4 linked regions of the Alligator mississippiensis genome follow. The protein of the gene in region 3 purifies or fractionates together with the protein of the main gene of each other region. This does not show direct contact. Links are inferred from orthologs where the notes say so. Each region holds a gene or a part of one and is shown on either strand. Other genes may lie near its edges.

Evidence for each region.
Region 1: the proteins of KAT8 (region 3) and PHF20 purify together in Homo sapiens (affinity purification with mass spectrometry; 3 studies listed by BioGRID and IntAct, counting the BioPlex papers as one, with this or other methods). This does not show direct contact. The link is inferred for Alligator mississippiensis from reciprocal best matches to the Homo sapiens genes KAT8 and PHF20.
Region 2: the proteins of KAT8 (region 3) and KANSL1 purify together in Homo sapiens (affinity purification with western blotting; 4 studies listed by BioGRID and IntAct, with this or other methods). This does not show direct contact. The link is inferred for Alligator mississippiensis from reciprocal best matches to the Homo sapiens genes KAT8 and KANSL1.
Region 4: the proteins of KAT8 (region 3) and PHF20L1 purify together in Homo sapiens (affinity purification with mass spectrometry; 3 studies listed by BioGRID and IntAct, with this or other methods). This does not show direct contact. The link is inferred for Alligator mississippiensis from reciprocal best matches to the Homo sapiens genes KAT8 and PHF20L1.

What each region holds. Positions count from the first base shown.
Region 1 is NC_081832.1:36,719,432-36,727,051, forward strand, and holds the start of PHF20 (PHD finger protein 20), read right to left. Parts: upstream 3,001-7,620; 5' UTR 2,590-3,000; intron 1-2,589. UniProt on the Homo sapiens protein: Methyllysine-binding protein, component of the MOF histone acetyltransferase protein complex.
Region 2 is NC_081827.1:158,971,404-158,978,872, reverse strand, and holds the start of KANSL1 (KAT8 regulatory NSL complex subunit 1), read right to left. Parts: upstream 3,010-7,469; 5' UTR 2,994-3,009; intron 2,883-2,993; exon of another isoform or gene 1,283-2,882; 5' UTR 1,149-1,282; intron 1-1,148. UniProt on the Homo sapiens protein: Non-catalytic component of the NSL histone acetyltransferase complex, a multiprotein complex that mediates histone H4 acetylation at 'Lys-5'- and 'Lys-8' (H4K5ac and H4K8ac) at transcription start sites and promotes transcription initiation.
Region 3 is NC_081830.1:855,201-862,190, forward strand, and holds the start of KAT8 (histone acetyltransferase KAT8), read right to left. Parts: upstream 3,008-6,990; 5' UTR 2,993-3,007; coding exon 2,797-2,992; intron 2,706-2,796; coding exon 2,631-2,705; intron 2,530-2,630; coding exon 2,354-2,529; intron 1,572-2,353; coding exon 1,518-1,571; intron 1,412-1,517; coding exon 1,247-1,411; intron 1,169-1,246; coding exon 1,079-1,168; intron 857-1,078; coding exon 716-856; intron 445-715; coding exon 351-444; intron 260-350; coding exon 109-259; intron 1-108. Other genes in the region: zinc finger protein OZF, read right to left, coding at 5,032-6,002, 6,529-6,694.
Region 4 is NC_081826.1:14,352,510-14,360,144, forward strand, and holds the start of PHF20L1 (PHD finger protein 20-like protein 1), read right to left. Parts: upstream 3,005-7,635; 5' UTR 2,958-3,004; coding exon 2,917-2,957; intron 2,859-2,916; exon of another isoform or gene 2,759-2,858; intron 1,967-2,758; exon of another isoform or gene 1,963-1,966; coding exon 1,846-1,962; intron 1-1,845.

The sequences.
Region 1 (7,620 bases), on a different chromosome or scaffold from region 3:
AGCCCAGGGAAAAGCTGAGTGCAGGGGGGGGGGGGCAGCCCCTCCCCCGGCCCCACAGCCAGTACCTCACGCTGCAGCTGCTTGCAGCATGCATGGGGCTGTTCGGAGCAAGCACAGGCAGCCCCACACAGGCTGCAAGCAGCTACCACGCAGGGCACTGGGTGTGGGCGGGCCACTTCCTCCCCCCCCCACCACCTTCCCCTCAAAGGAAGATAGCATCCTAAAACTAGTATTTTCACTCATTTGCTACTAGTACTTACGTAATAAATTGTGTTGGTGACTTGAAATACAGATCATATATTTTGCTGGAGAAGCACGTTTGGCCCAGAAAGGTGTGTACCACCCCCTTACAAAGACCGTGAATAACTGGAGGTAAGACTGAAGACTCATCATCGCCCCTGCAATATGCTTGCTTCCCCACACACTTCCACCAAGCAGACAGCTATGAACCCTCATTTTATAGAATGAAGCCTACAGATCTAATGGCAATCCATAAAGTTTGTGTATTCCAAACTATATAGTCCATGTCATCTTGTTTTGTATTCAAAATTACTACTTTATTCCTGGGAATCACAAGTTCAAGAAATCTAACAAGTTCTCATTTATGTCAAATACAAATATTTAAGAGATCAACAAGGAACTGAGAGAACTAGAGTAAGAAGTGTTTTCAGGGAAAGAACACAGAGAACCTGATCAGGACAAAGAAAAATGGGCATTTGGTATAGCGCAAGACTTCTATTATCACAGTTACTGCCTGCATTCAGACACGTGTGTAATAATGAATCCATACTTATTCACAAATGAAGATTTACAACCTGGAATAATTTACTCTCAAAATGATTAAGGTAAACAGTCTCATTTCCATTGAGAAAAAAACACTAACAGACAAGTAACAGGAAAAGAACACTGGCTGCTTGCAGATATAGAAAAAAAAGCAAAAAAAACCCCAAGACACACACTTTAAACTTAGTGCACTCCTGCACTGAGCCCAGCACATGCCTAGAAGAGGCCTCGCATTAATTCAACCCAGCTCTGCAGCATCTATAGATTGGGCGCTTTACTGTGACTTGTTGCGGCTTCTACCTAATAGCCAATTGAATCAGCTTTAGATAAAAGCGACAAAGCCCTGCTAAAGCGCCTTATCTATACAGATCCTGCAGCGGCCAGGTCGTAATAATGCGCTACTGCTTCCAGTAAAGCATTGGGGGGGGAGGGATTGTTGTTGTTCAGACATGTCTGAAAGCAGCCATTAAGTCTAACTTCAAACTTGGTAAGTTTCAATTAAGTAAAATGACAAAATACTTAGCTTCAAATAGAGCTGCAATTTTTTGGTGTACTGCACAATATCACACACTACCTAAAATTCCATATCACATGGATGTTTCAAAAATGTAAATTACAATCCATCTTGATTTAATTTATCCACTCTACCAATAATGGAAGTGTGCTTGAAAAACGTGTTATAATTTTAGTTAAAGTTTCTTTAAAAATCTGGAATCAGAATAAATCAAGGGCAGAGGAATTTTTCCATGGTTTTCCAAAGTGAGAAGTTAATTATTCAAAGCTAAATTAAAAGATGCATACTGCTTTCTAAATATTTTTTTTCCAAAAAAACCCACAAAAAACAAACCTCTCTAGAACTCTTGGTTCAGAGATACCTTGTATCAGACACTACTGCCAATCTGCTTCAATTCTTAACTAGCCTACCTACATTACTAATTAGGATGCCTTGCTTGAGCAGATTAAATTTTCCTGAATGCCCTTTTTGTTCTGTAATCCAACTCGTTTTTGGTTGCAATTTAATTTATTCAAGCCTTCTAGAACAGCAGTTTTCAACCTGTGGTTTCCAGACCCCTAGGAGTCTGCAATCTATGTCTAAGGGGCCTGCAAAAGATGATTATGATGAATCAAAAATACCCACACTTAAAATTCAAAGGGGTCTGCAAATGAAAAAAAAGGTTGAAACCCACTGTTCTAGAAACTAGAACTTGGTGTACTGGTCCACTCTGCCAAGGGGCCACAGGTAGCTGCTGCGATGCATAGCTAGGTTCTTTGACAAAGGCAGTGTAAGGAAAGTTAAATGAGCCAGGGGAAGGCACCAGTTCGGGATTTTGCCACTAGAAGACCCGTTCTCATAAAAATCCTGCTCAGCGGAAACGCGGGGCGTGTCTTAGCTTGCTTTTGCCGCCCTCCTCCTCTGCACTTAACTGCAAAAGCACAGGCCGGTTTACAAACTTTCCAAACAGGCTCCATTTTGCCCCCAAAACACCCCTTCCCGCTGACGTCACCCCAGAAGAGGGGGAAAAGTCTTTGTGCCACTAGCCGCTACGGCTCCTGCGTCGCCGCAGTCGGACCCGCCGCGCCGCTCTCGCCCCTCGCTGCTGCTCGGCAGCCGCCGGGCTCGGGAGGCAGGGAGCGGCCCCGGCAGCAACAGGGCAGCGGGAGCTCCCAGCCGCAGCGCGGCCGCGCCGCCTCCCGCGCTCGCAGGGGCCATGTGAAGGAGCCGCAGCAGCGCGGGCTCTGCGGGGGCGTCCGGCGAGGCCGGGCCCCAGTCTCGCCGCCGCCTGCGCTCGGGCCGTACAGACTCACCTGTCCGCGCGGCAGCTCCGAGCGACCCGGCCCCGCGCACGGGCCGCCGCCGCAGTCAGGGAGGCCACGAACGGCGCCCGGCCCGGTCCAGTCCTCCCCTCCCCACTTTGTGGGGGCGGTGCGTGCGGGTCGGGATTGGGCTCGGCCTGCCTCCCCCGCCCGCAGGCGGCCCCGGAAAGGGGCTTGACGAGGCCTGGGTGCTGCCGGCTCCTTCCCGAGGAATCTGCACGGGACAAACTGCAGAGACAAGGGCACCCGGACACACGCCCGCGCCACCGGCCAAGCAACGCAACAAAATGGCCGCCACGGCTGCGGCCTCCCGGCTCCCCGCGGGCTAGCGAGCGAGGCGGGTCTCGGGGGCGGGACCGCAGGGTGATCGCGAGGTGAAGGGAGGCGCCGGAGCCTGCGGGCGGGGCGGGCGTATGGAGGTGAGACCATTTGTTCGAGAACTTCAACCTCGTAGAACGTAGGATGAGCAATTGTAAAAGTGTCCAAAATGTACGATAATTTTTGAGGCAGCTAATTGGTACAGCGTATGCAAAACCTAAGTCACTCTCAGGGAGCTTTAACTGACTTCTGGGTTTATCAGCACTTTCTTATTATTGCTTGTCTCAAAATAAAGAAATGCTTCAACTTTAATGACCCAGTTTCACCCACTTGCTGGCACTTACAGAGAGTAATATAAAGTAAATAAGAAGAAGCCTTATTTGCATATTTTTCAATGTATGATAGTTTTTCAGCAAATATGATAGTTTTTAGCTTTCAATACAATCATTTCACAGTTAAGACCTGGCAACACTGTTGGGCACTACCCATGAGTGCCACATGCCCCCAGAGGCTGGGGAGGGTGTGGTGAGCTCCTGCAGGTGGCAGGAGCGTGGCAGCGACAAGCAGGGAGCTCCCACAGGCAGCCACAGCATAGGTGGGGGAGTAGCAAGTGCCAACTGCCAGTTGGCAACCACCCACAGATGCCACCAACAGTGTCAGCAGCAGCCAGCGGTGATCAGGGACCGCCGGCAGACAAAAGCAAGGGGGGAGGGGGGTGATGACCGGCAACCGCCCGCAGGCACTGTCAGCGGCCCTTTTGGCAGGGGGTGCACCGCCATGCTCAGGGGGTACACATGCACCCTCATGCACCTCCTACACATTGCCACTAGTGTTGCCCAGTACAGCCCCTGCAGTGCGCTCAGCACCACCCCTCCCACCCCTGGTCATCAGCCCTAGGGCATCTTTGTATCCTGGGAACACAAGCCTCTGGGTCAAGGAGCCAGGCTTGCTGTGAGGGAAACTATGCAACGCATCAAGGCACTAAACAGAGAAGCACTAGCATTACCCACCCTGGGGTCTTCTTATTAAATAGGTTCCTTCTGGGAACTTTGGTTTATCCCCTGGTGGCATCCAATCCACAGCCTGACCCGAGGCCCCCAGATGGCTCTGAGAGCCTCTGTCTTCTCCCAGTTGCAGCTAGCTGCTACCCTGCTCTTTCATGCTGGGGCACAGTGGAGGCAAGCTGAAGGGCATGTGGTTGTACAGGATGCACTTGCCCCTGGGTGGTAGCTAGATCCAGTGACCTCCTTGGTGCTGGATAGTTAGGTGGCTGGAGATCCCTGGTGAGAAGACAGTTTGCTGTTGGTTGAGTGGATGTAGGCTTCAGTGCTGATCTTGGGTGGATGCAAGGATGAAACCACTGGTATATCTCCATGCAGACCCATTAATAGACCCCAGGTTGCCACCCTCATCTGTCACCTCTGGGCAGCAGAGTTCTGTAATCAGGGCAATAGTGGCTTCACGTTCAAGAGGGTTGGGAACTAAGCTGAACCACCATGTTGTAGGATGCTTGGAGGACCAGCTGGCCAGCTTGTCCCAGGATGATGTCCTGGGACAACTGTTCAGACATCTGTCATGATATTTTGGAACAAACAATACTTATTCCACAAATCTTTTCTGGGGTGTTGTCCCATGACAACTGACAAAGACAATTGTACTTGGTCCTGGGGGACAAGTACAATTTGAACACTTGGTCCTGGGGGAATATGTTTTCTTCCAAGACAAATGTGACATCTGCTTGTAGCCGTAAAAACCTGCAATGACAGAGAGATTACTCAGCCTTTTTAGATAATTGGTTCTGGTGCCTATTGTCAGCACAGTGTAAGTAAGGCTGCAGCCCCTTGCATCCTGTGAGACTGGGCCATGAGGACACAGACTCACCCACTTCTAGCACTCAGCGGAGGTCACCCAATTCTTACCTGCCACATCTTAGTGTTGAATATGCCTTTGTCAGGAGGTGCTCTATTTTTGCTGCATGAAGTCCTAGATATGCTGGTTCTGTTTCTTCCTTGGGGTTTCTACCTCCCTTATACCCACTCCAAGCACCACCCCATTGTTACAGTGTATGTTGTGCTCTCAGTGAGCTATCTTCTTCCATTCTTTGCTCCTGTGTGCCTGCATTTGTCCCAAGCCTGGCTTAAGGGGACTGCAGCTGAGCCAGCCTTCAAATCATTTGGTCACAGCTTGATACACAGAAGAGAAATGAAGGACAACACAAAACAGGGAAACAGAACTCAGGTAAGTCTCAGCCCCTAGGGTCATTGTGGCTGGAGGCCACTAACCATGAGGTAATTCGGTCCTTAGGGCTGCAGTTCATTCCTAGGTGCCCAGCCCTCACAAATAAAAGGAACACAAAAAGAAATATGTCAGTCTCCCTGATCCTTTTCATCTACATCTTAGGCATTTCTCAGCCTTGGATGCTTCACCATCTGTCATCAAGGCTTCAGCAGCACCTGCCAGCTCCCCAGGCGCAACAGGCCAGCCCACCCACCCTTATAGACTCAGCTCCTTGTGAGTGTTGGAGTCGGTTCACTTACCCATGTGCTTCTGGCACAGGGCCAGCACTGCCTTTCTCTTCGCCTCTTTCAGGTGGTGGCAGCCCAGCCTCCCAGACTCCGTGGCAGTGTAAATGAAAGTAAAAGTAACTGAACCAAGAAGACCTGGAGCCTTGCCAGCTCCCATGATTGCCAATTCTCTTGGTATGTCTCCTTGCCAGAGGCAAATTAAGGTATACTGGCGCCCTGAACAATCACAAAATTGGAGGCCCCTTCCCACCATGGGAGCTGGGTTGCAGGGGGGAGGGGCCCCTTCCTCTCCTAGTGCTGGTGGGAGAGGCTAGGTGGACCCTGCCAAGCTGGAGGGCACATGCTCGCCTCTTCTTCCTGCCCCCACTACAGCCAAATGTGCACACACAGGTGTACACAGACACACACAGGCATGTGCACTCTGCCCTCTCTGCACATGGACACACACACACACATAGACAGACAGACACACACACACACACACACACACACACTTTCCCCTCACTCCTGATCACATGGAGGCAGCCCTCTGTCCCCCCTCCCCTCCCCTCCCCTCCACCACCCTTCCCTCCCCTGCCACAAGCTGCCTGCAGCTCAGTCTCCCTCCCCGCCCAGCCCAGGTTACACAGACCTGCAGGGAGCTGCTGCTGGGATGTCCTGTGCAGCCCCGCAGATGCAGAGGGCCCACTGGGCTAGGCCAGGAGCGCCACGCCATGCCTCTGCAGGCAGGCGGTGGCACTGGGAGGGGTGGCTGTGGGGGGGCCAAGATGAATTTTGTGGGGCTATAGCCACCAAGGTCTTCCCAGCACTACCGCCCACAGAGGTGCAGTGCAGCACTTCTAGCCCGGCCCAGCCCCAACCACCCCCCTCGCTAGGTGGGGCACAACTCTCCCAGCCTGTCTCGGCCCCCTCTCTCCTCGACATGGTGCCACTTAACCCACCCCTCCCGCAGGCGCGGCACGGCGCTCTCAGCCCAACCCCAGCCCTACCGGACCCTCCCCACAGCCCCATTGTCACAGGGGCCCCACTTCCAGATCCCAGGGAAGAAATGTGAAAGCCACAGTTTTAAACTTGGCTCCAAAGATAGGCGCAGAGTTTAAAACTGCGGCTTTCACTTCCCTGCTGATGAGGATCCCGGGGCCCTAATTGGTAGGGGCCCCTGGGCTCGTGCTCAACTGGCCCGTGCATTAATCTAGCTATGCTTCTCGCCGGTGCTCCCTCCTGCTCCCCGCCATTGCAGGCTCTGTGGTGGCATTTAAATTATCAGGGCCTCTCCAGGCTCCCAAGGGGAAATTCCACCTGTTTTCTGCTGCCCAGAGTTTCTTCACCAGCATCTTGGCAATCCCAGGGCTCTGCTCTCATCTGGCATCCATCCCGTTCTCTTTCCAGCCCTGACAGAAGGCCAGAAGTACTAGCCCCGCTGCAGGCAAGGCCTATCCTGATGGAGCAGCTGATGATAAAGTGGGGCTCCCAAGACAGCTGCTGGTCCCTCGCTGTTGTCAGCTGTGGACAGATCAGTAAGTTTCCTCCAGCTGCAAGCTCAGAAGAGTTTTCTCTCATCTCTTCACACTAACCAACTTTATAGCATAGTTCTTCCTAACTTAAATCTTTGTTGCTATTTAAACTCAATACTTCTCTTTCTGTTCCCCATAGACATAGAGAAGAATTGATTACCATCTTTTTAACAACCTTTTTTGCAGTTTTACAGCAGCACTGAGTACAACCTTTGTGAGGGGGATGCACAAAAAATAGCTGCCACTGCAGCAATGACTGACTGCACCCCCATGATCAGAACATGTATTGAGGCTGCCCCAGGTATTTATTTGCTCTCTTACACCTCTGTGTGTTTAGTTGAAGACTATTCAGATGTATTCATCACCACTTTTAATACCTCCTGGTATGCTATTAACATTTTTTTTGTAGTAATGCACTCATGTTTAGTTTGTGATCTTTGCGCATGTCTTTATTGAATTTCATCTGATTATTTCAACCCATTTTTCATACATGTAAAAGGTAATTTTGAATCCTGATACTGTCCTCTTGATGTTGAGGACAACTCAATGTTGCTAGATGGACGAGAGGCCCTGTGTTCCTGATACTTGTCCAACGGCAGGCTTTCACCCCAAAACCCTGCCCCTATCTGGGGTAGAGGCTTGTCGTCATTCTATGTTTTTTGTCA
Region 2 (7,469 bases), on a different chromosome or scaffold from region 3:
TCCTATGTATGACCCAGACTTCAGTAGAATTAAATTTGGCCTGTCTAGCTTAGATGGGGAGGAAAAGAGAACTGGATGTCAAAACAATGGAGAAAAGAAAGAAATCCAGCCAAGGGCAAGATTTTGGTTCTTTCCTATTTTAGGGTCCTTAACCTTTTTATGATTTCATCTTAGGTTTTAATTAAATGCAAATATATTGGCAAAAGACAGCTGTAGACCTTACATCATTAGTGCTATTTACAGGCATCCCACATCTTACGCGGGGGTTACGTTCTAAAGGCAGCGCGTAAAGGCGAAAATCGCGTATGGTGAAATCACATATTACCATGCCAGCGGCGACTGCCTCTGCCTCCAACACCTCCCGCCACCACTGCAGAGTCGCGCCTATAGTTGTGCGGCTGGCGGCAGCAGTGCAGCACAGGGTGGTGGTGGTGGGGATGGCTGTGTGCCACCTGGCCACCACCGCACCTGGCAGCTGGCCACACAGCTCTGGGCACGGCTCCATGGCGGCGGCGGGAGGTTTTGGAGGCAGAGGCAGTCACCGCTGGCAACGTGGTGGTGGCTGGGCCTCCAGGTAAGCGGCAGCGCCACTTGCAGACTCAAGCCCCACTCCCCACCCACGTATAGTTGAATTTGCGCAAGTTAAATGCACGTAAGATGCGGGATGCCTGTATATAATGCTCTACTTCTTCAAAGCAAATATGTCAACAAAGAACACGGTAGGCATATACAAGCATTTGAAAAGTGTATAAAACAGGGAAAGAGACCATTTTTATGGTAGTTATAAAATTTTGGGTGTGTCAAATCAGTGTACCAGGAATTCCAGGTACAAGACCAGGAAAATTAGGCTGAACATCAAGCACACACATACAAAAGCAGCTGCATGTGTTAAAAAAAATTCAAAAACACTGTAAAGAACCCAACATTTCTAGACACATTCCCAAATCTCTATTTTAGGATTATCTGCCATAAAGAAATTACAAAGGGAACCCACTTCTTAAGTTTCGTCTGGACATAAATAACAATCTGATTCCTGAACAGAGCCTGTAAATACCATGATGATTTTCACAGTTCAGATAGTTCTGAATGTTTAATAGATCTTTAAGAAAAATATGCCACTACAACTTTGAAAGAATGAGAGGTCCTACCTTGCAGACCATCTTGGAAGAATCCATGTCTACAGCGGTTCAGAAAAGGCTCAGGATGGAGGAGCAAGGGAGTTTAATTCTTCCAGGTGCAACCATGCACTATTAGCTTATTTTAAGAAGTGGAAACTTGGTATCTAGAACAAGAATATATTAAGACAGAGGAAATAAATATAGCTTACAAACAAAACATACATGACAATATTCAACTTGCCTCAAGAAAAAAAAAGATTTTGAGGATATGATTAAAAATATGTCTTGCCACAAATATGGAATATAGTACACAAGTGAGCTCTACAATAAATCACAGCAAATTGAGCACTGACACATTCCAGTACCTTTTAAGCCAAAGCAATTGAAAAATACAAAAAAAAAAATCTGTACAGGGTATAGATCAACAATTTAAGTAGAGGATCCAAAAGAATGTGAAGGAGATCAAGATTTGAGTGCCTAACTTCCTCAGACTCATAAAAACCACATTTGTTGAATTTCCCTCTGTATTACCTGAACCACTTAATTTCCTATCATATTTAATAATCTGACTTTTGAAAGTAAAATGTTTTTACCATGATAAAGACTTTAGTGAGGAGCAAGAGGGGAAGGTGTGTGCACGTGTTGGGGGGGAGGAGGGGGGAAAAAGAGGTGTTAAAACAACCAAAAAAAACCCAACTTTCTGGAGTGCTTCCTGGAAGTTTTAGAATGATATCATAGCTGGCAAAGCTTTTTTCTAGTTATATTTTTTTTTAATTTGACCAACTATAATCGGGACCAAGTTAGACAAGCTAAATGCAAAGCATTCATCTGGAAGCTTGGAATTTGATAGTTTTGTTTAATTATGTTTGGGTAAAATGGGGATGCCAAAACAAGAAGGGACAACAGACATCTTTTCTACCTCATTTCCTCAAATGTAGTGTATGAAGCCCTTAGTCCTATGCTGCTATTGCTCCAGCAATGCCAGCTCTTAACTTCTTTTGCTTCTGAAAATTGTTTAGCTGTTGTGGGGAATTTTTTTCCCCTTGTTTTACAAGCCATCAAAATGTAAAGCCTGATTCAAAACCACAAGGGCTGAAAAGCCCCAAAAACTCAAATGCCCCATTCAGGTTCACTGCAGTTGGGAAGTTACAAGGGAACTGTGTGCCAAGCACTCAAAACCCTTTTCAAATCCAGCACGTTAAGGCAGACACTTTTTAAAAGCCTGATCTGCAGGGAGGCAATCCTGTGGTTTCTTGGCACAGGCCTGGTGCAGAGAGGAGCCCTCTGTGCCGGATCCCCTCTGCCCCATCCCTGCTCCCAGCACTTGGCCTGCTCCCTTCTCCATCCCCATTGTTGCGAATGCAACAAAACAGCTCTTCCTCTGGCCGCGGCTCTCCCCTTCCTACTCCCATGTCACGTCGGGCTTCAAACTTCCCGGTCTCCCTCGCCCTGCCTTTTCCTCCGACCCAACTCACTTTCTGGCTGTGCTGGAAGCAAACCCCTGTCCCCTCCCCCCGGCCTCGGCCTGCTCAATTCGCTCCCAGCAGCCGCTGCCCGCGCGGAGCGAACCGGACCCGACGCTCGGCGGCAGGACCGGGCTCAGACCGCGAGCAAATAAAGTTCGGGCCCTGCCCGGCCCCGGCCCCAGCCCCAGCCCCAGCCCGGCCGCCTCCTCGTGCAAAGTTGCCGGAGCGGGCGGCGGGCGCTACTTGGCCTGCTGCTGGCTGGGGCTGGGGCAGAGGCAGGAGCAGGCGGCGGGTGCCCTGCGAGCCTCACCCCACCACCAGCCCGACCCGGCCTAGCCCGCCCACCCGCGGCCCCAGCCCAGCCCTGTCGCCCGGCCCGGGCGCTGCCCCGTTTTCCTCCCGACCGCACCAGCCCCAGCGACGACTCCACATCCCGCACCTACCTGCACCGCTCAACCAGCCTTGAAGCGGGGATCTTCCGCCCTCCTCCGCGCTCATTGGCTGCGGGCAGGGCATGGGCCGCCGGGGTTGGAGGAGGGGGTGTCAGTCAGAGCCGGGGGCGGGGCAAGGCGGTGATTGATGCGGGCGCCTCGCTGGTCCCTGCCTCCGCTTGTGCTTCCCCGAGATGTGTGAAGGGGGTAGGGGGGCAGGGCCCGGCCCCTGCCCCTGCCTCAGTGTCCGCGTCCCGCGGGCTGCGTGCGGCGGGGAGGGGAGATGCCCCCGGCGGCAGGGGAGCCTCGTGCCCCTGCTTCTGCTCGGGGGTGCCCAGACTGCCCCGCCTGAGGGCCGCAGGCCTCCGCCGGGGACACGGACACCTCCGGAGCTCAGAGGCTTTCTGAGCAACGACACAGTCCATCACGCCCCACCTAGGCCCGACCAAGGAAGGGAGATGGGGGCAGCTCCCCGCGGGCAGCACCAGGCGGCTCCGAGCTGGGCGCCATGGGGAAGGAGAGCCGTGTCAGCAGGGCAGGTGGCCCTGGCCATCCAGGGCCGGTCCCTGTTGCTTTCCCAACAAGCAGAAAGCTGTGTTGTCCTCCTTTGGCACAAAGTGTATTGGTCATTGCCCCAAAGCCCCGCCACCCAAAGGAACTACCAGGGCAGCCGGGGCAGTTAGTAACGGCAGTTAGTCAGGGCAAATGGCAGTTAGTCAGGGCCACAGGCAACACGTAGAGGGGGCACCCCCCCCACCCCCCCAACAGCAAGCGCTCCGGCTGGTAGGGGGCACAGAGAGTGCTAGTGCCCCCCAGAAATTGGCTACCCGCCCCGTCGTGCCCCACTGGTGCCCCCCCAGACTCGGGAGGCACCAGTCACCCATGGTCAGGGCAGTGCAAATGCTTATCAAGGATTGTTTTCCATTGTTAGGACTCTCTGTCCTTGGAGGCTTTTAAGGCCTGGCTAGACAAAGCCTTGGCTGGGATGATCTAGTTGGGGCTGGTCCTTCTTGGAGCAGGGGGCTGGACTAGATGACCTCCTGAGGTCCCTTCCAGCCCTAGCTTTCTGTGATTTTATGAAACCAGCCACCACCTGTACAATACTCTGATGTGAGCAGCCACTGCTGCAGGAAACAGCCAGATAGAAGCAGGCAGGGCTACAAGTGGCAGGCCTATAGACAGGTTTGCTGCCACTATAGGTAGCTGTTAGACTAATATTTTAGCTGTTTCTCCTCTGTCCCGCTGCAGAAGTGGAAGGCAGATAGTAGCAGAGTATATACTAGAGGGACAAAAGTATAATTTTGTACCTAAGTAGGACAAGAGAAGATAAATATAGGTGAGATAGTGGTAGAGGAGGAAGAGCTAGGAAGGGGTGAGACAAGGGGAATGAAGAGAAATGCTACCAATGAAGGACAGAGAGGAAGAAGAGAGAAGAAAGTGGAAAGAAAAAAGACAAAATAACAGCAGCCCCAGTAGGCACACAGTGACAATATAATGATAACAGAAGAGCAGGTAATATAATAATACCTAGCGTCTCTGCAGAATGTTCAAATTATGGCTTTGCAGAGTTGGAGGATTCTGCACATAGTAGCCACATGAATATGTGGCTGGCATATGTTAGCACAGGCTAAGCCACGCAGTTAGTTATGCAACCTATGTTAGCTCTGGGTAAAGGGGTTAAGAAGTTGCAATGCAACACTATGGAGAGAAGAGAAACAGGACCCCGTGCATGGTTACCACATGTGCACAGTTGTCAGACTGTAAAACACTTTCAAACAATGTTTTTAATGTGGTATATAATTGCTGGGATGGGTAATATTTAATGACATTAACTGTCTTTGTGACTTTGGTGTGTGTGAGGGAGTTTCAATCCATCCCCTCATTCGTATTAGCAATAACCCGTGATGTGTTTGACACAGATATCCCTTGACCATCAAATGATACCAGATACCATTAAAAACCTGCCACTGGTTCTCAAAGAGAATGGTCATGACGATCATCAGGATCTTTTCCTTGTCTTTGCTGTTACCAGTGTCCAGATGCACCTGGCTGTCACAGCCTGAGACAGCACAGTTCACAGGTACCATCCTGACTGATACTGAGATAAATACCTACCCCTTTCAAGACACATTGCCAAAGCCCTCTATATATATTTCCTTGCATTCAACTGAAACTATTCTTTTCCCTTTGAAAAGTGATTATTTTTTCCCTTTAAAATTGTGGTTGCTGTTCCAACCGTTCTGTTTCACAAATGAAGATGGAAAGCAGAGCTAAGCCAAGGAGAGGACACACAAGGATAAAGGGCAGGGTGGCACATTAGAGAGGTAGGTAGCTGTGTTGGGTTGTTAGTCTGTTATGCTATCCTGCCCTACCTCCTGTCAAACTTCAGACTAGCATGGGTAACTGCTTCTTTCTACAAGGAAGGATGAGAAGCTGAAAAATTCTGTAGTTCCATATTTAATCCTCTGGTTTTGGTCATGGCCACTCTAAGAAAATGGTGCGTTCACAGTACTCATTCGAATCCTATTGTCAGGAAATTTTAGCCAGTGGTTATCCATCTTTTTATATTACCCCTCACAAAATGCTGGTTCTTAGGTTAACGTTTTGACTACTAAAAAATAATAGAGCAAGTCTTCTGTTCTAAAAATCTCAGAAAGAAAATAACAGGTCAGAATCTCCCTGATACTATGGATACCCATTTCAAATCTCTGGGTTTATCTTGTGACTCATGTATTTGCACACCTAACAGTTTTCAATAAGGCACAACACCCTTAATATCTGTGGGCCCCTGTTTGTGAATCACTGTTCTATTCTCTTCCTTAGAGTATATGTCTTAAGACATATATAAGGCCTAAGGCTAAGGCCTTAGGCTTATATATAAGGCCTAAGGCTTATATTGTCAACACTGGGTGCATCTACACAAGATGCTTTGCTGTGCAGTTGAGCAAATTACTGCACATTAAGCATCCGTGTCTACATGTACAGATGCTTACTGCACAGTAAACTGCTCTAATCACAAGCAAATTTGCTACCTGCAAATACAAGTAGCAAATTTATTCTCAATTAGTTACTGCGCAATAGCGCACATGTAGATGCTGACCAGGAGCAAATTTACTCCCAGTCAGCCCCACCATAAGGGGGGCAGCCTCAGGCTAGCCCCAGGGCCCTGAGGCTGGGAGCCTCTCCTACCCCAGGGCTGGGCCAGCTCTATGCCTGTCCCAGCCCCAGGGACTGCAGGGACGCTGGGGCTGCAGGGATGCTGGGGCTCAGGGGCATTTCCTGGCAGCCCGTGGCCACTGCATTCCCCAGGACAGGCTGCCTGAACCCCAATGCTATTCCCTGGCACTGCATCACTGCATGGCTGCCAGGGCCATGCCATCCAGCTGCATAGGGTGCTGCAGGCATCTAACAGGCCTGGCAGCACCCAGGCCCACCTATAGCCAGCTTGTGGCCACTGGGTGCTGCAGCTATCCAGATACCATGTGAAGAATTGCTGCAATACAGAAGAAAACCCCCCACGAATCACACACCACTGCTTATGACGTATCACCCCTCCCTCGAACCTATATGGAAAATCTTCAAACAATTGTAACCCATACTAGAAGGAGACCCTGTTCTTAAGAGATCTTCCCAGAACTACCCATCCTAGCCTTCAAACAAGCACCGAACCTCACTAACTTCATCACGAAACGCAAACTTCCTAGGGCACAAACCACACCAAATGGATCCAGACCATGCCATGACAAGAAATGTAAATCCTACCAACACACCTCCACCACCCCCACACTTACTACACTCCACAACAGAGCCACCAGCAGTCCCAGATCTTACAGCTGCACATCCAAAAATGTAATATATCTCATCCAATGCACCAAACGCTCTGATGGAAAATACGTAGGAGAGACCAAACAACAACTGCACACCAGAATGAACGCACACTGGAAACCTAGATGGAACCAAAAATACCCAATTACTGGTGGGGGGCAAATTTCTCACATGAAAACCACTCTCTTTCCAATCTCTCAGTTCTAATCCTCAAAGGGAATTTACAAAACACTTTTCACAGATGAACTTCACTTCACTTGATCAACCTCCTGGATACAAAAAATCATGGACTAAATATAGACACTGGATTTATGACACATTATAACCTGCCTGACATCTGACTCCCCAGGTACCTCTCCACTATTTACCTGCTACATGCATCCCTCTCTCCCTCTCGCCACCAGCCTCTCTCTCACCCACTGACTCCTCTATTTACATCTTCACTGACTGCATTTCTTGCATGCATACCAGGCTCTGGCTTCTTTACTATTCATTCCATCCAGAAAGAGCACACACCAACTGCAGATGCTTCCTCAGCCTGATGAAGGGTATTTAAACCTTGCTTAAACTTAAAACTTGAAGATTGATACAAATAATTTTTCCAATTATCTGCGCTGGTCTAATAAAAG
Region 3 (6,990 bases):
AAGACTAAGCAGGAAGGGGCCAAGCTCAGCCCCTGGATGGGAGACGAGCCAATGCGCAGCAGGAAGGGGCTGAGGTGGCCCCCCAGCTGGGAGCCCACGCCCGTTCACCTGAGGTCCTTGATGGACAGGGTGCCCCGGAAGTCCCGCAGGATCTCCAGGAGCACCCAGGACCAGTAGCTGCGGTAGCTCAGCTTGCCCAGGTCTGAGAGCGGTTTCTCTGGCGACCCCACCGTACTCTCCAGCTTGGACAGCTCGTAGCCTGCAAGGGGGTAAGAAGACGCGGAGAGGGGCTCAGGGCCCTGCTTCCTCTGGACCAACCTGGCCCTGTGATGCTGGGGAAGGAGACTCACTGAAGGCAATGAGGAATTTCCCGTAGCCCCGTCGCTGGTAGGGGGGCAGAGTGAGGATGCAGGCCACGTTGTTGCCGTCCGGAGACTCTTTCTCCTGGGGGGGAGATGGGGCAGGAAGAGTGTGACAGAACCCAGGCATCTGGGTCCCTACTCTCGTCACCTCCCAACAGCACCCAGGCAGCTGGGCTCCGTCCTCCTGCTCTCACCCCCAAGCTCCAACTCCCCTTGTAGCAGTGCGATGAGAGGAGCCGCTCACTGGTGGCAGCAGTGGGGAGGGATATCGGGCGGGCTGTGGGGGAGGTGTCCAGGCTTGTGCCAGCCCCCCACCCCGAGGGAACCCAGGCGTCTGGGGGGCCAGCCAGCACCTTGGAGAAGTAGCCGACAATGTGGGCACCCTGGCGGTCAACCTCGGTGAGGATGTAGAAGACGAAGGGCTCCACGTCGAAGTAGAGGGTCTTATGGTCCAGGAAGAGCTTGGCCAATAGGCACAGGTTCTGGCAGTAGATCTGGGGGGGAAGTGTCGGGATGGGAGAATCCAGGCTCTCAGCCCCCCACTCCCCCGCCCCTGCCCCTGCCCCTGCCCAGAGAACTGGTGGGAGCAGTGGGATGAAAGGAGCTGCTGACTGGTGGGATGTGGGGGGCACTGCTTGAGGGGCTCCCAGCTCCCCCTGCTCCCTCCCCCCCATCCCACAGAAGCCTGGCATCCGGGTGCCCTCCCCCGCACTGACCTTGTGGTCTTTCCCGTCGACCTCGTACACGGAGATGTTGCTCTTGCGGTAGATCTCCCGCCCCGGGGGCTGGCGCCACTGGCACTGCCCCTGCCAGAGTCAAGGGCCGGGGTCAGGCCGGTGCCCCTCACTCCTGCCCCGCCCCCTGCCCCAAACCCCGCCCCTCACCAGGTGGAAGCGGTAGGTCTTCTCGAACTTCATGTACTTGAGGCAGTACTCGCAGATCCAGAGCTTCGGCTGCTTCCCATAATCCTCTGGGAAGGGCGAGAAGTACCAGGCGTCGATCTCGTAGTGCCCGATGTGGATCTTGTCCACGTACTTCACCTTGGTGATCTGGGGGGGGGCGGGGTCAGCGGTGCCCCTCCCTCCCGGCCCGCTGCCACTGTCCCCGCGGTGGTACCCCTCGCCCCTGACCCACAGCCCCCTCAGAGCCTCTCACCGCCTCGTGCTCCTTCTCCAGGGCGGCCGTGGTGGGGTCCATCTCTGCGTAGGTCTGTGGGGAGAGGCAGAAGGGGGGGGGGGGGGCAGAGACAGCATCAGGCTCCGCCCCCCTACCCCCAGAGCACCCCCTACGGGGCAAAAAAAAAAATGACTACTGTATTGTCTCATGTAGACCACGCCCCTTTTGCCCAGCACCTGCCAGCAAAAGGATGCTACCCTATTGTCTCCTATAGCATAGGTCACTTTCCACCTCTCTACAGGGCAAAAGAAAGCTACCGTATTTTCTTGTGTAGATGTGCCTCCCAACTCTCACACAGGCCCTGCAGGGCAAAAGCAAGCTACCGTGTTTTCCCGTGTAGCACACATCACTTCCCACTTCCCAGACACCCACTGCAGGGCAAAAACCACCCCAGCAAAAACAGCTACCGTATTGTCTCACGTAGAAGACACGCCTTCCAGCTCTCAGGCTGGGAGCTACCGTATCTTTCCTATGCACCGTGCCCTTTTGCCCCCCGCCTGCAAGCCACATTTTCTCGTATGCAACGTGCACCTTCCCCCTCCCTTCACTCGGGGAAAGGGGAGCTGCCGTATTTTCTCAAGGAGAACATGCCGTCCCCCGAAGGAAAACAGAGCGGTTGTATTTCCTGACACAGAACAGGCGCGCTTCATCTCTCCCGCACCCCTGGAAAGCAACGCGGAGCGACCGTATCTCCCCGCGTAGGACACGCATGCTCCATCTCGCACGCGCCCCCTGCAGGGCAACGGGAGCTACCGTATTTCCTCGTACACAACGCACGCTGTGACCTATGCCCCCGCCCGCCCGCCCGCCCCCACCTTCTGGACGTGGTTGATCTCATCGTGCTTGCGCTTCTGGTTGCGGGTGATCTTGCGCTCGGGCTGCTCGGCCAGCTCGCTCATGTACTGCTCCGTGTTCTTCTGCACCGCGTCCTTGACCGTCTTGGTGAGGGCCAGCCGGTTCTTGTCCACCCACTCGTCCAGGCGCCGGTTGACTGCGGGGCGGGGCGGGGCGGGGCGGGGCGGGTGAGAAGGGCGGGGGGGGCGCAGGGAGCCTGGGCCCCGCCCCGCCCCGCCCCGCCCCGCCCGCACTCACAGCCGACATAGTGCACGTAGTACTCCTCCCGCGACTCCTGCTCGTTGATGCGGGACTGGATCACCTCGGCCGAGTCTGCAAGCAACGGGCGCGCGTCAGGGGGGGCGGGGCTACGTCACGGGGGCAGCCCCTGACGTCACTGCGGGGTGTCCTACGTCACACTCACGCCAGGCCCCGTCGGCGCGCCGGCACAGGTAGGTCTCGCCGATCTCCACCGTCACTTCCGCCTCGCGCGGGCCGGGCGGCGGGGCCGGGGGCGGCGCTGCTGCCGCCCCCGGCCCCTCGGGCCCCGACCCCGACCCCGGCCCGTCCCGCTCCGCCGCCTCCGCCGGGCCCGCACCCAGACCCGCCGCCGCCTCCATGGCCCGTCGCGCCGGAAGTGACGCGCCGGCAGGGGCACCGCCCCCCTTTCGCGTTCTGGGGGCGCGTGGTAACGTCACGGAGCGTGCGAGAGGGAGGGCGTCACGTGAGGGGGTGTGTGTGTGTGTGTGTGTGTGTGTGTGTGTGTGTGTGTGTGTGTGTGTGTGTGTGTGTGTCCAGCAGTGTCCCAGTGTGCACCGCGGCCTCGACCCCTCCCTTTTGCCCCCAGGAAGCAGCGGCGTGCTTCTACCCCAGTTGCGCGTCGTACTCCAGACAATACGGTACCCAGCGATACGGTACCCGCCCCCATCAGGCCCTAGACACCCCCCGCCCCCCCAATGGACGGGCCCTACCGTAACTTCCCGTGCGCGACACACGGGGCTCCCAAACTCCACCAACTACCGTATTTCCCCAGCTATAACACCCCGCCAAAAATAACACCTGCTTTGGAAAGGCGGGAGGGGGCGAGCACGTGCACGTGTGCGTGTTGAATCAAATCCAATCGGATTCATTTGCCGCCGGCTACTGTACTTCTCCAGCTATAACCCCCCCCCCAACATAAGACCTGCTTTGGAAAGCCGGAAGGAAGACAGAAAAAGAAGAGCGAGAGAGATCTGTTTAATCAAATCCAATCCGATTCGGTTTCAGGCTGCTTTCCATCGCTAATTTTCGGGGGGCGTGGTACACGAGTCTATACGGTACTGAAAAGATGCCCCGCCCCCCTTCCTTGCTCTCGGCCGCCCTGTTGGTCCCCTCTGGGGTAACCCAGGGCTAGCAGGCCGGCGTCGGGGTGCCGTTAGTGCCGGGGCTACGGTGCCCTCGGCCCTGGCTGAAACGAAAGGGGATCGAGTCTGGCGGGTCACACGCGGCCTCCCACGATGGGGGGCGGGAACGGCAACTCCCGCAGCCTGGACTCAAACCCCCCCCCCCCAGTCTTGAAGGTCCCCCTGATCCAATAGGAACAACCTCAAGCTTCCTCTGGTCCAATAGGAACCTCCCAGAGAGGAAGAGGCCAACAGAGAGTCCAGTGCGGAGGGAAGCCCTTCTCAGCTCCCAGCATGCAGTTCTGCAGCAGAGGATCATGGGACGATCGAGCTGGGAGGGATGTGACAGGTGCCAGGCGGGACAGCCCAGGACACAACCGACCTGGCTCTTGCGAATCTCCGGGGATGGAGACGCCGCAACTCCTGAAGGATCATGGGAAAGTCGGGCTTCCCGTGAGGTCACCGAGGCTCTTCCCGAGGGCGAGGTTCTCCCGGGTGAAAGCATCCCGCTCCAGCGTCTCCAGCCTCTCTACGTGCCTCCTTCAATACTCGACCACCTCACGGCCGGCAGTTTCCTCCACCTCTCCAGCCTCAGTTTCCCCTGCTGAAGCTTGGGGCCGTGGCTCCTAGTCTACGGCCACCCATAAAGACCCAGAGCTAGACACGGGGGAGATGTGAGGGGCTCCTTGTCTCACGTGTTTCCCTCTGAGAAAGGACGTGTGGAAATTGGGCGTGCGCGTTATAGGTGAGAAATATGGTAAGAGCAGTTCCCTAGCCCTGGGGCAGCAGGGATGCTGGACCACACGGGTTGGATCTGGCAGGGAAGGGGAGGAGAATACCATAGTCTCTCAAATACAAAATGACCCATTGGTTTCTCCCAATAAACAGCAGAAACTGCTCTTACCGTATTTCTTGTGTATGATGTGCACCCTTGCTCCCAAAATGGGAAACTGCTTTTGCTGTATTTCCTGCGTATAACATGCACCCTTGCTCCGGAGCAGGAAAACTGCTCTTACCGTATTTTTTTGCCTATAACATGCACCCTTGCTGCCTCTGGGCTAGGTTCTTACCGTATTTCTCAATTTCTCACCAAAAAAGCACATTCCTAATTTCCACCAGCTATGTTTTGGGGGGGGGAACGACACACTCTTATTGTATTCGTCACCTATAATGTACACCCATGCTGCCCTGGCTAGGTGACGCCCCTTACAATATTTCCCAGCTACAACGCGCATTCCCAAATCCCTCCTGCTGCGTTTTTGGGGGGCAATATTTTTTCAAGCCGTCTCCGGGATGGGCACGAGCGGGTTGGCAGTGGCCCAGGGCCCCACGGCCAGCACAGCCATGGGCTCCTCCTCTTCCTCCTCCTCCTGGCTGCCCCCATGGTGCAGCTTCTGGTGCCGGGCGAACTGGGTCTTGTAGCGGAAGCGCTGCCCACAGGCGCTGCAGCCGTAGGGCTTCTCCCCCGTGTGCACCCGCCGGTGTTTCACCAGGTTGGAACTGACCCCGAAGCGCTTCCCGCAGTCTGGGCAGGGGTACGGCTTCTCCCCGGTGTGGGTGCGCTGGTGCTCCAGGAGGGTGGAGCTCTGGGCGAAGCTCTTCCCGCAGTCCCCGCAGGCGTAAGGCCGCTCGCCCGTGTGCGTGCGCCCGTGGGACACCAGGTGGGTCTTCTTCTTGAAGCGCCGGGCGCAGAGCCCGCAGGCGAAGGGCTTTTCCCCAGAGTGCGTGCGGAGGTGCTTGAGCAGGTTGGAGCGCAGGCCAAAGCGCTTCCCGCACTCGGGGCAGGGGTAGGGCTTCTCCCCCGTGTGCGTGCGCTGGTGCTTGGCCAGGTTGGAGGTGCGGCTGAAGCAGCGCCCGCAGTCGCGGCAGGCGAACGGGGTCTCACCCGTGTGGGTCCGGCGGTGCTCGGCCAGCGTGGAGCCACGGGCGAAGCGGCGCCCGCAGTCCGGGCAGGGGTAGGGTTTCTCCCCGGTGTGCGTGCGGACATGCTCAGCCAGCGTGGACCCACGGGCGAAGCTCTTGGCGCACTCCCCGCAGGTGAAGGGGCGCTCCCCTGAGTGCACCCGCTGGTGCTCCAGCAGGTTGGAGCTCTGGCTGAAGCCCCGGCCGCAGTCGGTGCAGCGGTAGGGCCGGGCCCGCACCCGGGGCTGGGGCTCCAGGAGGCCCAGGAGGTTGATGAGGCCACCTTCGGCCCGGCGCCGCCGGCGTCTCACAGGTGGCACGGGGGCGTCCTCGGCTGCATGGGCACCTGGGAGGAGAGAAGGGGGTGGATGAAGGAAGGATGAGGGGCTCTCTCGGCCCCGCCGCCCAGCCTTGCCTAGCGCCCTTGTGCTCTCCCACCTGCTCTTTGCTCAACACGGAGCCAGCGGCCTCAGCAGATCAGGTGCTGGTGGCCAGGAGCGGGATAGGCCTCTCCTCCGGCTCTGGGTTGTGGTGCCCAGACCGGGTACGGACCCGTCCCTTGCCCCTCCGCTCGACTTGGGGGTCTGGTCATGCCTGGGCTGCTTGGGGGGCTGGGAAATATCCGCCCCTTCTCCCGGTTCTCTGGGCTGCCGCCAATACCTCCCTTCTTAGAAGGAAGAAGGATGTTTCCTTCCCTCCGGTCCCTCCTGGGGTGCCGACACCCCCACCACGAGCTGGGTCTGGTAGCCAGCAGCACCCACCCCCAGGGAGTGGGTTGGGGCTGCAATTTGCCCTCAGTGACGGGGGTAGGCTACCAGACCTGCCCCCCAAGATGCCCGGGCTGCCCCGGGGGCGTTGGGAGCTGGGCTCACCTGCTCGGGCGGCTCTGGAGACGTCCTCTTCTCCCCCCCCGACTTGGGGATCTGGGGTGCTGGGGGCTTCACCTGGCTCCATTGGGCTGGTCCTCCCAGGTAGCTCCGCCTCCTTTCTGGGCAGTCCCACCTCTTCCTCAAGAAGCTCCGCCCTCCGTGCTGTGAGCTGCAGGGGGAAAGTCGGAGGGTCACAAGGCAGTGGGGGTGGGGTGCGTCATGTGCAGTGCGAGCCCAGTTGTGGGCCGGTGTTTTGTGTGGCTGGTTCCTCTGCTCTCCCCCAGAGCTGGTCGCATCTCAGTCCTTTGGGCAGTGTTGCGTGTGGCTGTAACCCCTCCCTCCTGCTCCCCCCAGAGCTGGTCGCATCTCAACACTTCCTTGGGCACTGTTATATGTGGCTGTAACCTGTCCCTCCTGCTCCACCCCAGAGCTGGTTACGTCTTAACTCTCTCTCTGGGCAGTGTT
Region 4 (7,635 bases), on a different chromosome or scaffold from region 3:
GTGAGGGAGGGAGTAGGGCTGGGGCAGGTGCTGCCCAGCCAGGGCAGGGCACAGGATGGAGCCGTGGGCAGCTCATCTAGAGGGAGTGGGAGAGGCAGCACCTACCGCTGCATGCACCCCTGGGTGAGGTATGAGGGGCACATGCCCCCAGATCTGTGCGTGGGCTGAGGGCAGGCTGCAGGTTCGGGGCCAAGGATTGTGCTGGACTCTTCCCGGTGGGGATGCTGCAGGTGGGTGCGGAGCAGGTGGAGGCAGTGGTGCTGGGAGGGAGGAGGGTCTACGGACCAGCTACAGCAAATTAAGGTGGCTATAACCCCCACCCCCACTGTAGTGCTGTCGCCCACTGCAATCCACTTGAGCACAGCCCTGGCCCAACCCCCACAGCTCCAGGGGGCATATGCCCCCCATACTTCCCCCAGGGTACACACAGCAGTACCCCTACCCCCAGCTGTGCAGCACCTGCCCCTGCCCCCAACCCCCGACACCACTTCCCCTCAACAGACTTACCAGCTGGATGCCAAGCTGCCAGACTGCATATCAACAATTGCATTGGTATCAGCCGATATGGGTGGTTAATAATCGGCCATCAGTATCGGCCCAAAAAATCTTTATCAGTGCACCCCTAATTTAACCCTTCTGTCCCTACAGAGTATCCCTACAGCTAACACATTAAACTGACTGACATGTAGCTCTGTCACAGTCAACACAATTAAGTATTAATGCAAATTACACCACCCAGTGACATGGAAAAAGGAGGAAAACGTATACAGAAGCCAGACTCTTCTGCTCCATGGCAGCAACTAGTGACTAACTGATGGAAATCAAGAAGTTTCTACACTGGACTAGACATACTGTTAGTTCAGTCTACCACAGCAATACATTCTCTTTCAAATCATGGCAATACATCCCTACATTAACAAGAAATGAACAAGTTCCTTATTAGCCAAATTCTGATTAAGCCTGAGGTTTCTCTTTTGATTTTCCATTTTCTCTCCAAGTAAATAGATGGCTTAACACAGGACTAAATAGTAAGTCTTCCAACTCTCCCAAAACTTGGTGTGTGACCTTGCCCAAGTTGCATCTTTGATGTCTCACTTTCTCCAGCCATTAAATGCAGATGCTATTGTACTCACCTGCTTAACAAGCTATGGCAATAGACTAGTTTTCAAACAGTTACTGGGAAGGCACGGAAGTATTATTATGGAAGACTTTTGTCATGTTTTCAGTCTTACTATTTGTAAAATCTTTTTATGACTTAAAATAAAAATAAGCTAAATCCTTGTAGACTCACTGGACTTCATCACATCAATGTATTTAATTATCTTTCACACAACACTACATGCCTAAATACTCTAAGTTTTCCTTTAACTACTAAATTTCCTAGATACCTTCACACGTAGAAAACTCAGGCAGGGTATAGGCAAATACCAAGTTAGCATTGACACTCATGGGGATCCACAGCAAAAGGAACTAACAAGCATTGACTTAGCCTAGCAAAACTACCATGGCCTGAAGTCCCAGGTTTGCTGACTCCACAAAACAGCTGTGGCCAGCAGCAGAAAGCAGAGCCAACATATGGCGTAAGTGATTGCAGACAAGAAACGCAAGAAAAACCAAACACGCTTAATATTTTCTTTCATTTGGATTTTGGAAAGAAAGTTTTGCCAATCTCTCTATCTTAGCTGATTGCTCTTAAATAACCACATTCATCAAAACTAATACGTGGACCAATGATTGACGATGATACCTTAAGCTTTTACTAAAAACAAAAAGCTTTGGCTACAGACAGGTTACAGGTGATGTCAAATCATCTGACCTAAGCAAACATTATAATTTCTTCCATACCATTTCTGCAAGTAGTCCAATGCCTCCAACCGAGCACCAATCTCGAAGGTGATCCCAGGACGATTGGGAGGTTTTTTACTCATCTTCGTAATGTCTATCCTCTTCTCCTTTTTTTTCCTACCTTTAGAGAAGAATAGTGGGATATTACAAAGAAGGAAACACTGCTTAAATCGCACGCGGCATCCTAAGCAAGCACCCTGCACGATGTCTATGAAGAGATATAAACCTATCGGAGATTTACAGCCGTTGGTGAATCCCGGCAGCGCGCTGAAACGGAAACCTTCGATAGACAGGACGACGTAACAAAAAAAACCCCAACCCCACGGAAATGCACTTTAACCGCTCCCCCAAAAAGCGGAGAAATCCTCAACTCAAAGAACACCTAATTTTCAAAGCAGTAAACCCAAGTGTTGGGACTACACTTAACCAACCCCCAGCTCCCTCGACCGCTTCGTCCTCTTACAACGTTTTCCTCGCCGTCACGTCGAGAGGGGCTTTACGGGGGAAGAGCGAAAGGGGTCGGTCCACGCGCGGAGGGAACGAACAAACGAAGCCGACCCATGCCGGCGAGCTCGAATCTCGACCGCCGAGAAACACGGGCCCTGAAAGGGCTGCTCTCAGCAACAGGAGGGGAACCCCTTCAACCAGTGCCGATGGGTCGGGGCAGCCCCCAAACCGGCGGGCAGACGCCCAGACCGCGGGGGGCTCTGGGCCTGTTTGGGGGGCACGTGAGAAGACCCCTTCATGGAGGGGCCTCTCCGGCTCTTGCTGGGCATGAGGGAAGGACATGGGGCGCGGGGGCAGGGCGAGGGGGGACCCCTGAATGCGCCGGGGCCCGGTCTGGGAAACGTGCCCCGACCCCGCCGCGACCCCCGGGCCGGAGGGGACGCGTATGTCCCGCCGGGCTCCTTACCACCGCCGCGGCCTGGCCCGGCCCGGCCCGGCCCCGCGGGCCCCGGCTCGGCCCGGCCCGGCCGGAGGTGTCGGGCCCGGGCGGCCTCCCTCAGCAGCGCCCCATCGCCCCCCACCCGCGCCCCGCGCCCGCCCGCCGCCGGCCGGCCGCTCCGTCACCTCCCTGCGACTCCCCGCGAGGCGGGGCCGGGGGCCGCCATCGCCGCGTCACGTGACCGCGGCCGCCCCGCGCGACGCTGCTTTACGGCGGGGGCGGGGCCGCGGGCAGGAAGGGGCCGGCCGCGGGGCGGGGCCACGAGGGGGAAGCGGCCTGGAGGAGGGCGGGAGTGGGGCTACGGGAGGCGAGTCACGTGGGCTATAAAAGGCGGGCGGGAGGTGCGGGGCGGCAGTTGATGTGGGGCGGAGCGCGGGGAAGGAGTGGGCTGTGAGGGAAGGCGTTCTCGTGGGGGGTTTCAGGAGCCTCTTCCTTGACCTCCCTCTTCCCGGCTGCCCATTTTCCGGGAACGAGGGAGAACCCCCCACCCCATGGGGCAATAACAGAGCAGGTGTTTGTAAAATTAAGTGTGGGATCATTATCCTTAACGTGAATGTCAAAATAATTCCTGTGAATTTTAATTCATGTGTTTAATATATTCAAAGAAATTTAATTTGTTGCCCAAATTCAACGTGGGATCGGGTGGATGCGTTTGGCCCGTGCGTTAGTACGACGCAGCCGTCGCCTTCCCGACCTTGAGTCGGTCGCAGCGTCGCGGCGTGGCGTCCCGCCATAGATTCGACCGGAGACGGCGGGTGGCTCTGCTGCTCGTGTGCGGGGACGTGGCGGGGCGGGGATGCTGGTGTGGAGGCAGCGCCGGGGGAGGATGTTTGATAAAGGCGGTGTTGGTTTCTCTGTTTGTTTAGGGTTGGCATCTGCGCCACCCACAAGAGTCAGAAGAGGCGGACTCGTGGCGGAGCTCGCAGTCTGGTGCTGGAGCCAGGAGAAGAGGCGCGAAGGCGTCTGTGCTCCCCGTCTTTGGGAACGGCAGAAGAAAGTCAGGATGCTTAGACACCCGCTCCCGCTTCTGAAATCCTTCGTGAAGTTGGGCCGCACCAAGAGCGTTCAACAGGCCGGATAGGCATGCTCGCTGGATCTGGCTGGTGGTCCCCATCTGGCCTCCTGGGGAGCGGGCAGTCCCTGATCCAGCCACCGAATGGAAAGGGACTTGGCCTGGCTTCAGCCAGGTCCTGTGTGGAGAACAGTGTGCGAGCAGCCCAGACCTAATTCACTGACACTGGGGGGGGGGGATTTGGCCTGGTTCCAGTCCTCCACAGGGGGCTTGGGAGAGGTGGCTGTATTAATTAACAGTGTTCGTATCATTGGCACCCATGAGCTAGACAGTTTCCAATCCAACCTTAATAAGCAACATCACTATTGCACTGCCCCCGACACACCATAAAAGTCAGGCAGCTCGTACCTCTCCTGCTGCTTGCATCTTTCCAAGGAATAAATGAACGGTGCCTGGTCTATACGTGTCCCACAGCGTGTGTCCTCGGCATGCTGCTGCAATGGTACAGCCTGGGATGCTGAGAGAGATGAAATTGAGTCTCCGTCTCTTGTGGAAAGTCAGGACCCAATGGGTATGTGTAGCTGACTTCACATTGCTAGTAGGACATCGGATGCAAGGAAGCAAGGCGGAGGCACGTTTGGATTCCTTACTCCCTGGATCGGGATGCTGCCCCCTTGTCCCAATCTGGCTCTGTATTTTGAGCACAACTAAAATACACCTACTGCAAGTTTCCCTCGCTTTATGCGGGTTCTGTATAGGTAAATCCATTCTTATGCAATGCCCCTTTTTATACCAAAAATTCATTATATGCGAGGTAAATTCACTCTTCGATTGGTGTGCTGGAAGCCCACAGTCAGCTGCTTTATGCAGTGCATTGTGGGAGTGACACGCATCAAAATATAGTCTTCTTTGTGGATCTGTGTTCCTCGCTTGTTTGCGACACGTGTTTCTTTAGTTGCCATCCCCATTATGGTAACTTTCACCACCACCCTGTGCTTGTGTGTGCTGTCTGCTGTTGGTGAGTGCCAAAATTGTCTTGTAAAAGTGGTAGAAATGGGTCTGGGGGTCAGTACAGTCAAGGTCTTGGAACGTATCCCTATTTGTTATATTGTAAAGTGGGTTTCCTTTATGCAAATTCAAGTTATGTGCTATTTTCCAGAAATGCGTGTACAACATAAAGCGAGGGAAACCTGTATATTGCACACTAGATATGGTAAGGGGGAACTTCAGGCAGGCATATGCTATTTACACAAAAGTGTCTTCAATTTTACTAAAGCACACAAGGCCTAAATTCAGGGCATCATCCACATCTATATTGCAGACCAGGTCTATAAAGTATTATATCTGGCAAAGCAGTGACTCCCAGGAGGACTTAAGGTGTTGGGATGGCTAATTTGCTGGACACATGCATTTGCTTCCAGTGTTGTGTGTTGCTTCCAGTGTTGTGTGTGGCTACACTGCACTTGAGCTTTAGTTTGTAGAGCTCTGAACTAGGCATGTACATTTTCTGAGTGCTTGTATCTACTCCTTCCTTCCTCTGTGGTAGTAGTTATGAGTTGAAGCTTCCAGTTATGAGTTGGAGTGTAACCCTGACTCTCCCCTGACTCCCACCACGGTGCTGAGCTCTGTGGGACTGGCAATGCTGCCCAGGGCACAGCCCAGTGGCAGGAGATGGGGGGTGGAGGGGGGGGGAGGAGCCAGGGCTCTACCCCAACCGGCTCCGCCAGCCCCGTGGAGCTCAGCCCAGTGGCAGGAGGCAGGGGAGAGCCAGGGCTGCACTCCGTTTCCTGCCGCCGGCTGAGCTCCGTGGGGCTGGCAGAGCCACTCAGAAGGAAGCCCTGGCTCTCTGTCTCCTCCCGCTGCCTGCGCTCTGAGTGACTCCGCCGCCACCACCACGGAGCTGAGCCTGGTGGTGGGAGGCAGGGGAGAGCCACTGGCCACTAAAAAAAAAAAAGTAAAAATACTCATGGAAGTGGTGAAATATGTAAACAATTGCCACAAAAGTTTGTATGGAAGAAAGTTTGCTAGAATAGACCATATTATTTCCCTACTGTGGCATCTTGGATTCAAAACTTCTGAGGGACTCCTTTGCTACCACATACATCCCTGAAACATGGAAGATGCTGAATTTAAATCCAAAATTGGCTAAAACTTCATTGCTGAACAACCAGAAAGATTTCTATGCCTCCTTGCCTTTCTGCCACCTGACACCACCAAGGAAGGAATCCTGCCTTATCTGCATATCAAAGAGCAAATCACAAAGACACTCTCATGGAGCCAGAGGAACAAACTTCCACCTTTAGCTTCCTCTGTGCAAAAATGAAGTTTATTTTCTACCTATAGGGACTTTCTACCATCTTTAATTTTCCTTGAGTCTAAGGAAGGGCACATGTACCTGAAAGCTTCCAGAAAAAGATTTTTTTTTCCCCAATTTATTTGTTGGTCTAATAAAAAGTATCATCTGTGAACCAAGAGTTCTAGAGTTTTGCATTCCAGGATGTGTTAACTGCACTTAAAACATTAGCATCTATTGAGCATTCAAGCAATAAAACAGGTGCTAGGGGCCACCATAGCATAGCAACATTAGGACTTTTCCAGTGACAAGTAGCTCCAGATAATATTACCTAATAGGTGTTGAGCTAACACCTGACTGTTCCACAGAGGTAATATAATGAGGAAACTTGGGTGCAGTTGCGGGGCTGGGACTGACAAACAGCTATTTATCAATCCCAGCTCCAGCACCATACTGAAGTCTTCAACAGCTCCGGCTCTTAAGACAGGTTTCAGTTAGATGATGGTAAAGGTTACGATACGCATGCTCGGAGAACTTTATGACTCTCAGTAACGCTTACAGCAATCTAGACAAAACCTGTCCTAAGTGTAATATGCAACAAAGACCACAGTAATACTTTTTTATTCAACCACAATGCTAACAAATGCCAGTCTCCATCCCAAGAATGCGATTAGGGCAAACATCAAACATTGCAATGAGGAAGTCAGTGGGAGCTTTTGAGCTGCCTAGAAAAAAGGGCTTGGAGCTTTGACCAACAATATCATCTCTTTTTTGGTTGCCACTAGAGGGGAACGGGACTTTGTTCTTTGTAAGTAAACAGGCTTACATCAGGGAAACACCTGATCTTATCATTACAGTGTCTTCCTTTTTGGGGTAACTCATAAAACCAAGGTTTTGGCTAAGCATTCAAGTTAAAAAGAGGTAGCAATCTTATTCCTAAGTCACCGTATCTATAGAAAAAGAATACTTAAGTGTTGGTGCTTTTTAAGGAAATATAAATGTCTGCATAAATATCTAAAGCCATGTTTCATCTTACCTAGGAAACAACCTGGGCCGCATAGCTTTAAGCTAGCATTTTATTAGTGCTGCCACATCAAATTCTTGGGAGCGTTCAACTATATAATTGAGATAATGAGCTCCTCTCAAAACTTTAACCAAGGTGTCTTTTTTGAGTCAAGTCAGATCTAAAGACATATGGATCTAAAATAAGCATTGTATATTATAGTGGTAATACTTGAGAAAGATTAGTGAAACTTGTAGGTTTATATGATAAGGTTTTTTGGCAGAGAAGAATTTATGAGAATCTAACAAGTTGAGAAAAATCAACAAAGGAGAGTCATCTGAAGTCTAAAGAGTGAAACAGCATTTGAAAGCACGAAGTAGAGCTTCCTTCTGACAAAATGAAAAATGGATATTGTTTGGGTATTTTTTCTTAAAAGAAAACTGTTCAAACAATTCAATTGGCAAGTTTATTAAATTCAAACCCAACATGATGTTTTGAAGCTCCTTTTAAATTAAATTAATGTTATAGAATTGTGG